2 linked regions of the Daphnia pulex genome follow. The protein of the gene in region 1 interacts with the protein of each later gene in a pairwise test. Links are inferred from orthologs where the notes say so. Each region holds a gene or a part of one and is shown in the gene's direction. Other genes may lie near its edges.

What was found.
Region 2: the proteins of homeobox protein homothorax-like (region 1) and homeobox protein extradenticle-like interact in binary tests that used the Drosophila melanogaster proteins (3 or more experiments, as listed by UniProt). The link is inferred for Daphnia pulex from reciprocal best matches to the Drosophila melanogaster genes hth and exd.

The regions. Positions count from the first base shown.
Region 1 is NC_060026.1:11,046,690-11,049,567, reverse strand, and holds part of homeobox protein homothorax-like, read left to right. Parts: intron 1-1,262; coding exon 1,263-1,321; intron 1,322-1,926; coding exon 1,927-2,105; 3' UTR 2,106-2,645; intron 2,646-2,821; 3' UTR 2,822-2,878. UniProt on the Drosophila melanogaster protein: All isoforms are required for patterning of the embryonic cuticle. Acts with exd to delimit the eye field and prevent inappropriate eye development.
Region 2 is NC_060023.1:11,356,160-11,360,527, forward strand, and holds homeobox protein extradenticle-like, read left to right. Parts: upstream 1-1,266; 5' UTR 1,267-1,353; exon of another isoform or gene 1,354-1,443; intron 1,444-1,700; 5' UTR 1,701-1,776; coding exon 1,777-1,947; intron 1,948-2,009; coding exon 2,010-2,151; intron 2,152-2,216; coding exon 2,217-2,467; intron 2,468-2,557; coding exon 2,558-2,748; intron 2,749-2,823; coding exon 2,824-2,959; intron 2,960-3,027; coding exon 3,028-3,127; intron 3,128-3,206; coding exon 3,207-3,358; intron 3,359-3,425; coding exon 3,426-3,485; 3' UTR 3,486-4,240; downstream 4,241-4,368. Other genes in the region: surfeit locus protein 1-like, read left to right, coding at 60-149, 221-345, 408-593, 645-818, 875-1,088. UniProt on the Drosophila melanogaster protein: Transcription factor which acts with the selector homeodomain proteins altering the regulation of downstream target genes such as wingless (wg), teashirt (tsh) and decapentaplegic (dpp), thus affecting segmental identity.

The DNA.
Region 1 (2,878 bases):
CAAGAGTTATATCACGGTGATATTACACTCATGGCGACATCGGGTTAAAACTATATATTTATTTATATATATTATACTGGTGGGTGGGGTGCTGAGGCTCAACCTTATATATCCGAGCTTGATGAAGTTCTGCGCCCGTCCTAAATCCTCCACCCACCCCCCTTCTCCTTTTACGTCAACTTGGCCCCCTGCGAAAGAGCACAACAGCCGTTACACAAGTCAGCAGGTATTTATGAGATGTTTCGTATCATCACGAAACCCGGGCAGCAGTGAGAGAGAGAGAACTATATTATATTTATATGACTGTAATAGTTCCTGGGGTCAAGTGACAGCTTGGCCAGGGCTTCCGCTGCGCTGGATATATATGTATATATGTATACATTTCCGTTTGTTTTCCCAGTCGTTTTGAGGTTTTTATTTTATTATTTTTTGGGGAAAACAGAAAATTAAATTTTTTGTGTTTTTGGTAATTTCGGTTGTTTTTATTTTATTGAGTTGAACATGTTTTCTGGGTTCCGGGCATCTAAAAAATAATGCCTTCCCGTATGTAAAGCGTCAAGAAGATGGACGGACATATCATTCACCTCCTCCTCTTTTTTTTCTTCTTTTTCTGTGGGGTACCTTTTGTCTTGCGAATGAAAATTGAAAATAAGTTGGCTGGCCAGCACACCAGCTGCTGGCTCTCTCACATCAGAGAGAGAGAGAGCCCGTGTGTCTTTCTTTTCCAACTATTCTTATCAACATCGGGGAAGAATAATACAGGGAAAACCTGCAATTAAGGTAATGATTGTGCTGAGGCCGTCCACCTATAGCCAGTCTCTCTCTATAGGCCCATCCAATATATCTAGTATATATACGTATTCCGGCCCCTTTTTTTCTCAAGCGACGGACAGGCCGTCGTCTCGACCGTCGAATCACACGGCTCATTATGAACACGTCTTTGATGCTGACGTCACCTGGATGATTATACTATTCTACTCGTTACCCCTTTTTTCTTCTTCTTCTTCTCTTCAAAGATGTTTTTTCTTTTTTTTTTCAATTGTCCTCGTCGACACAATAGGAAAAGAGCCCCAGAGTTATAATGTAATTTTTTTTCCTTATAAATAAGAAAAAAAAGGGAGACTTGAGTGAATGCGTATGCGCTTAAAATTAATTCCCTACGACGAATAATGAGATTTTTCTTATTTTCTTCTTTCCTTTTCAAAAATAATTTATTATAGCCTTGTTAATAATTGGAGAAATTTTTCTTTTTTCCCCTCCAGGTTTATCAACGCCCGGCGTAGAATCGTTCAGCCCATGATCGACCAGTCGAATCGTGCCGGTAAGTTTTGGATTTCTTCCTTTTATATATATCTTGTATCGTGTAGCTTCGTTATCTCGTCTGTGGAGATTCGATTGCCCAGATAATATCGTACACATAGAAAAAAAAAGAAAAAGAAAAGTTGATCGGAGACCAACATCAACTGGAGTATAATCATCCGGCGCCCAGCTGCTGCCGCTGCTATAGCGTCACTCCCTCCTTTTGCTATATATAAAACCAATTGTCGTGGCATTAAATATTGACAGTGCCATTGTAGAAGAAGAGAACAGAGAAAAAGAGACGGGCGCACGAATGAGCTGTTTGCCTTCCTTTTCTTTCTTCCGCTGCTGTTGAGACGCCATGAAAAACCGGAGATAAGCTCCTTTCTTTCCCTTTTTATGTAGTAGTTGTGATGATACTTGGGACACACACTGTCGCTGAGCTAATTGATCGCTTATTGCTCCCCCTCTCTCTCTCTCTCGCCCGCTCAAACAGCAGCGCTCCTTTTAGTGTAGGCCTAAGCTAATCAATGATCAATACTATAGCTCCTTTATTCTTGCCTATCTAAAATTTGAACGCGATTTTTAATGTCTACATTTTATTTTATTTTTTTCTCAAAAATATAGTGGCTTTGTATCCGGCTGGCCCTAGCGGCGCTTACAGTCCCGATGGCGGCGGTATGGGTTACATGATGGACGGAGGAGCAGCAGCGGCGGCGGCCATGATGCATCGACCGCCGGCCGATCCTATGGCCTTCCACTCCGAGTACCACTACCCGCCACAGTACTACGGCCATCACCTCTGAAGAAATTAAAAGTGAAGGAGAAGCAAAAATTTAAAAAAAAAATTAAAAATAAAAATCAACGACACTGGAAAAAAAGAACCCACACACAAAACTCGACTCTCGTTGGCTGCTGCTCCTGCTGCTGCATGCGTGTCTCTCCGCTACCCATACAATTTTGTCCCTCATTTCCCCCCCATTTTTGTTTTTGTTTTCCCTCTCCTTTTCTTTTTATAAAAATTGAACGCCGAAATGTTTTCGTTTTTTCTGTCCAAAATGTCCGCCGCCCTCCCCTCCCCCTCAAGAAAAAACTACTCGAAGCAGCTAAAAAGACAAAACAAATGCAAAAACAAGACACCACACAAATTATATATATACATAAATGTATCATAATGTCATCACACTATCAAAACATCACGTCGTCTACTACGCCACAAATGTTCTTCTTCGTCTCCTCTCGACCGAAACATCACGAAAAATCCCGTCAGGAACGCGCCAGCCGCCACTCATCCGCCATCATCAGCCAGTCATCAGCTTCGAAATTTGTTCCCCATCGGTGGACAGGTAAATAATTATATCCGACAAATATCCACGCAATAAAAAAACAAACAAACAAACAAAAAACAAACATGTTTTTATAAACTGTGGAATTTGATGGTTTTCCTGTTCGAAATTCCAAATTCCAAAATAGTTTAAAAATCATATTTTAATAAATTTTTTGTGTTTTTTCTTCTTTCCAGCATACTCTCCCGTTCGGCCGGACTCTGGGTGTCATAGCGGTGGATCGAAATTGAGAA
Region 2 (4,368 bases), on another chromosome or scaffold:
AATTTGGTTTATAGCTTCAAAACTGTGTTTTTCAACATTCATTTTCTGCTACTATTCAGACATGTACACAAAATTACGTAAGACGATCAGCCTCAAGCTATGGGCAAAGAAATGCTGTAGATATCGGAATTCACGGTTATTCGTTATTGGTAAGATAATCGATTTTAAAAATAAAACGTACATATAGTTCTTTAACAAAAAATTGATCCAATAAATGTAGGCTATTCCAGCCATCACTTTCGGCCTTGGGACCTGGCAGATTTTCAGACGTCAGTGGAAACTTGGTGTTATTGATCATCTTGCCAGCAGAACGTCTGCACCACCAATTCCATTTCAGTCTACAGAGTGAGACTGATACAATTCTTTAACTCTACCCTTTTATGCATATTTACACCAATGCTCTACAGTATTGAAGGGCTATCTGACATGGAATACCGGAAGTTTGAACTCCATGGAAAATTTGAACATGACAAAGAGATTTACATTGGGCCAAGATCACTGGTTGGAAATGAAAAAAATGAAGGTGGTGGGATGTTGTCTTCAGGGCAGAGTGGCTATTTAGTCATCACTCCATTTAAACTATCAGATTCCAAGTAAGACATTCAAACAGTTAATTTTCTCAATTTTCTACAAGTTACTTTTAGTCTCACAGTTCTTGTAAACCGCGGATGGATTCCTCGTAAAAAAATGAATCCATTCACCAGACTAAATGGACAAAGAGAAGGCGAAACAAAACTGATTGGAGTGTACCGCTCTAATGAAAATCGCCCCCAGTTTGTACCCCAAAATCAGCCCAAAGACCGCATGTTTCATTTCAGGTAAAGACAATTATATTTTTCGCAAAGTTAGATAACTTCATATATATTGCGTACAGAGATGTGGAGGGAATGGCTCGGCTTCTAGACACTGCGCCAATTTTCTTTGACGCGGACGCTGATAGCACAGTACCGGATGGACCTGTAGGTGGACAAACAGTTGTTACTGTTAGAAATGAACACGTTTCGTACATTTTAACGTGGTATTCATTATCAATTATCACAGCATTTTTGTGGCATCGACGATTTATCAAGAAAATGCCTCTTATGTAACTTAAATGTATTTATCTTCATAGAGGTTAAAGTCAAATTAATACATTTTAACATCAAACATCATTATATTTTTACTCTTGTTGCGTTTTCATTTGTAAAAATAAAATTTTAATTAATAAAATTCAAAATAAAAAATAAATACAGTATCGCGAGTTTCTAGTACATCGATTATTGGCTTACCCGATATAATTATCGATACTTACCTTTGTGATCGCGTTCTCGCGTCTTTTTTGCTTTGTCCCGTCGATAATCTCGGCGATCTCTGGTAATTATTTTATGAGCCTTTGAGAAATGTGATTCAGTCTGTTTGAATACTAAACAACTCGTGAATTCCCGGTTTCAAATTGTGTGTCAAGTCAGTAAAGAAAGTTTTTATTCTAATTGAAAGAAATACGCTACGCAAGCAAACTTCTCTTCCATGGCGGACGCTTGTCGCCTTGGGCATTTTATAAGACGTTGGCATTTTTATATTAACCGAAGCCAATTTTTGTTATTTACGATTGCTTTCTTGCAATACTAGTGCTTTGTTGTGTCTAGTACATTTCATTTTATGTTTACATTTCATGAAATCACATGTATGGATGTTAGTAAACGGAAAGTCATTGTTTACAGGGTCTTTATTGCCAGGTCCTGTAGCCTGAAGGCAATACGTTTTGTGCAGTGACATTGGAAGATTTCATTGCTTTTGATGGATGATCCAAATCGACTTATGCATCCTGTTCCAGGTGGCCAGGTTGGACTAATGCATCAGCCACCGTATGGGTTACCTCCTGTCAATGTCGGAGTCAATGTTGGGGTTAACATGGCTTCACTTGATGGAGGGAACCAAGACTCTGAAAATATGACTGGACGAAAGCAGGTGTGTACAATTCCATTTCCAAAATCTTTTTTTCCTTTTAAGTAAAACTTCTTTTTTTTTAGGATATTGGAGAAATTCTGCAACAGATCATGAACATCACAGACCAGAGTCTTGATGAAGCCCAAGCACGCAAGCATACCCTGAACTGTCATCGCATGAAACCTGCTTTGTTTTCTGTCTTGTGTGAAATCAAAGAGAAAACTGGTAACCCTATTTCAATATGAATCCAAGTGATTGAATGGTAACATTAAATTGTGCTCTCACTTTAGTTTTGTCGCTACGCAACACGCAAGAAGAGGAGCCTCCAGATCCGCAACTCATGCGGTTGGATAACATGTTGATTGCTGAAGGAGTAGCTGGTCCTGAAAAAGGAGGTGGGGCCGGTGCTGCTGCCAATGCATCAGCTGCAGCGTCTCAAAGCGGCTCAATGTCGGACTCGGCTATTGAACACTCTGATTATAGGGCTAAGTTGGCACAAATTCGTCAAATTTACCATCAAGAGCTTGAGAAATATGAGCAGGTACACATTTTTAGCAATGCTTATTTTTTTATTGGACCTCTATGACAAGAAAATGGAGAATAACCATTTCATTTTTACATCCGCTTTCAGGCTTGCAGTGAATTCACCACCCATGTTATGAATTTGCTCCGAGAACAATCCCGTACTCGTCCGATTACACCCAAGGAGATTGAGCGGATGGTTCAGATCATTCATCGCAAGTTTAGCTCCATCCAAATGCAGCTGAAGCAAAGCACTTGCGAGGCCGTTATGATTTTACGATCTCGTTTCCTCGACGCCAGGTAAATTTTGCTATTTTTTTAAGGTTTGACCACGCCCATTAAAGGTGTTGTTCTATCGATGTCTTCATCATGTAGGAGGAAGCGGCGTAACTTCAGCAAACAAGCTTCTGAGATCTTGAATGAGTACTTCTACTCGCACCTAAGCAACCCCTACCCAAGTGAAGAAGCCAAAGAAGAGCTCGCTCGTAAATGTGGGATCACCGTTTCACAGGTTAATTTCTTTTTAAATCCTTTTAAGAGGAATAAGCGCATTAATGTTTTGTTATTTTTACAAAAAAGGTTTCGAATTGGTTCGGTAACAAACGAATTCGTTACAAGAAAAACATTGGAAAAGCCCAAGAGGAGGCCAACCTGTATGCTGCTAAAAAGGCCGCGGGTAGTTGTTTCCACTCTGAGGATTTTCAAATCCTCGTATTACCGGAGCGATTCTAATTTTCGTACTTTTTCTTTCTCGTTAGGTTCCTCGCCATACAGTATGGCTGGAACTCCCGGACCGATGATGTCGCCTCAACCTGGTGGTCCTGAACTCAGGGGTCCACAAGATTCCTTAGGCCCGTACGGTGCTATGGGACTCAACGGTGGTGACTTTCCTTCCTCCATGGGCGGCCAAGTAAACTACTTTTAATGACTTAACTAGTGGTATCTCAGCATATTAATTAATGTAAACGTGTTTGTAGGGCTATGGCGATTCATCGATGGGTTATGATCCAAGTATGCATCAAGTGAATTCACCCTGAGGGGTGGACGAGTGCCCCTTCTCCTCCTCCACCCTATTTCTCGGCAAATCAACTCTTAATTTACTAACTTCATCAGATCTTGATCATACTGTGCGTTACAAGCTATCTTCAGCTGTTCGATTAACTCGTTCTAACCCATCTCGTACTCCTTCTTTTGTCCCTTCCTCTCAGTGCAGCTTTGTTGTTTCGTCTTGATAGAAAATGTTTCTGTGGATCACCTCGATCGGTGCTTGTTTTTTCTCATTTGTTTCAGAAACCTCTGTAGTTTTAATCGCTTTTGCGTATAGTTGAAACCGTCGATGTAGTCGTTATCGTTTTTATTTGACAACTAGAAGTGAACCGAACATCTCCGATTACAATCACGTACGCTCTCCCGTCACCGAAAAAACGATCATCAGTATTCTCGAAAATCCACATCCCACGGACCCGAGTCCTATTTCTAAAAAAACAAAAAAAACACAAGAATTCCCATCAAGTTTGCGTTTTAACTGAAAAAAAATACTTTTCTTTTGATATGGTGGTGGAACCGAATGCAATTTTTGGTATTAGAATATTTTGCAGTTCCTCCTCTGTCCTATAAAAAAAATGACTGGCGCTTTGAAGTGAAGCTCAAAATATTTCTTTCTCGTTGGTACGTTTTTATATTATTTTCCACTAATCCGTGTCTCCTTTTTAAACACTATATTCATCTGTTCACCGCGCAAATCCTTGCCATGAAATCATGTACAACCAATACATCCATTTCTAGGTGTCAACGTTCTTATTTTTTTCTCATTATTTTTTGAATGTTTTCAAATTTCAACCATCCCGAGGGTTGATGATGCAGTTCGTGTATCAGCGGCTCAGCGCCTTTCAGTGGTAGCAGATTTACATGTTGCATTTC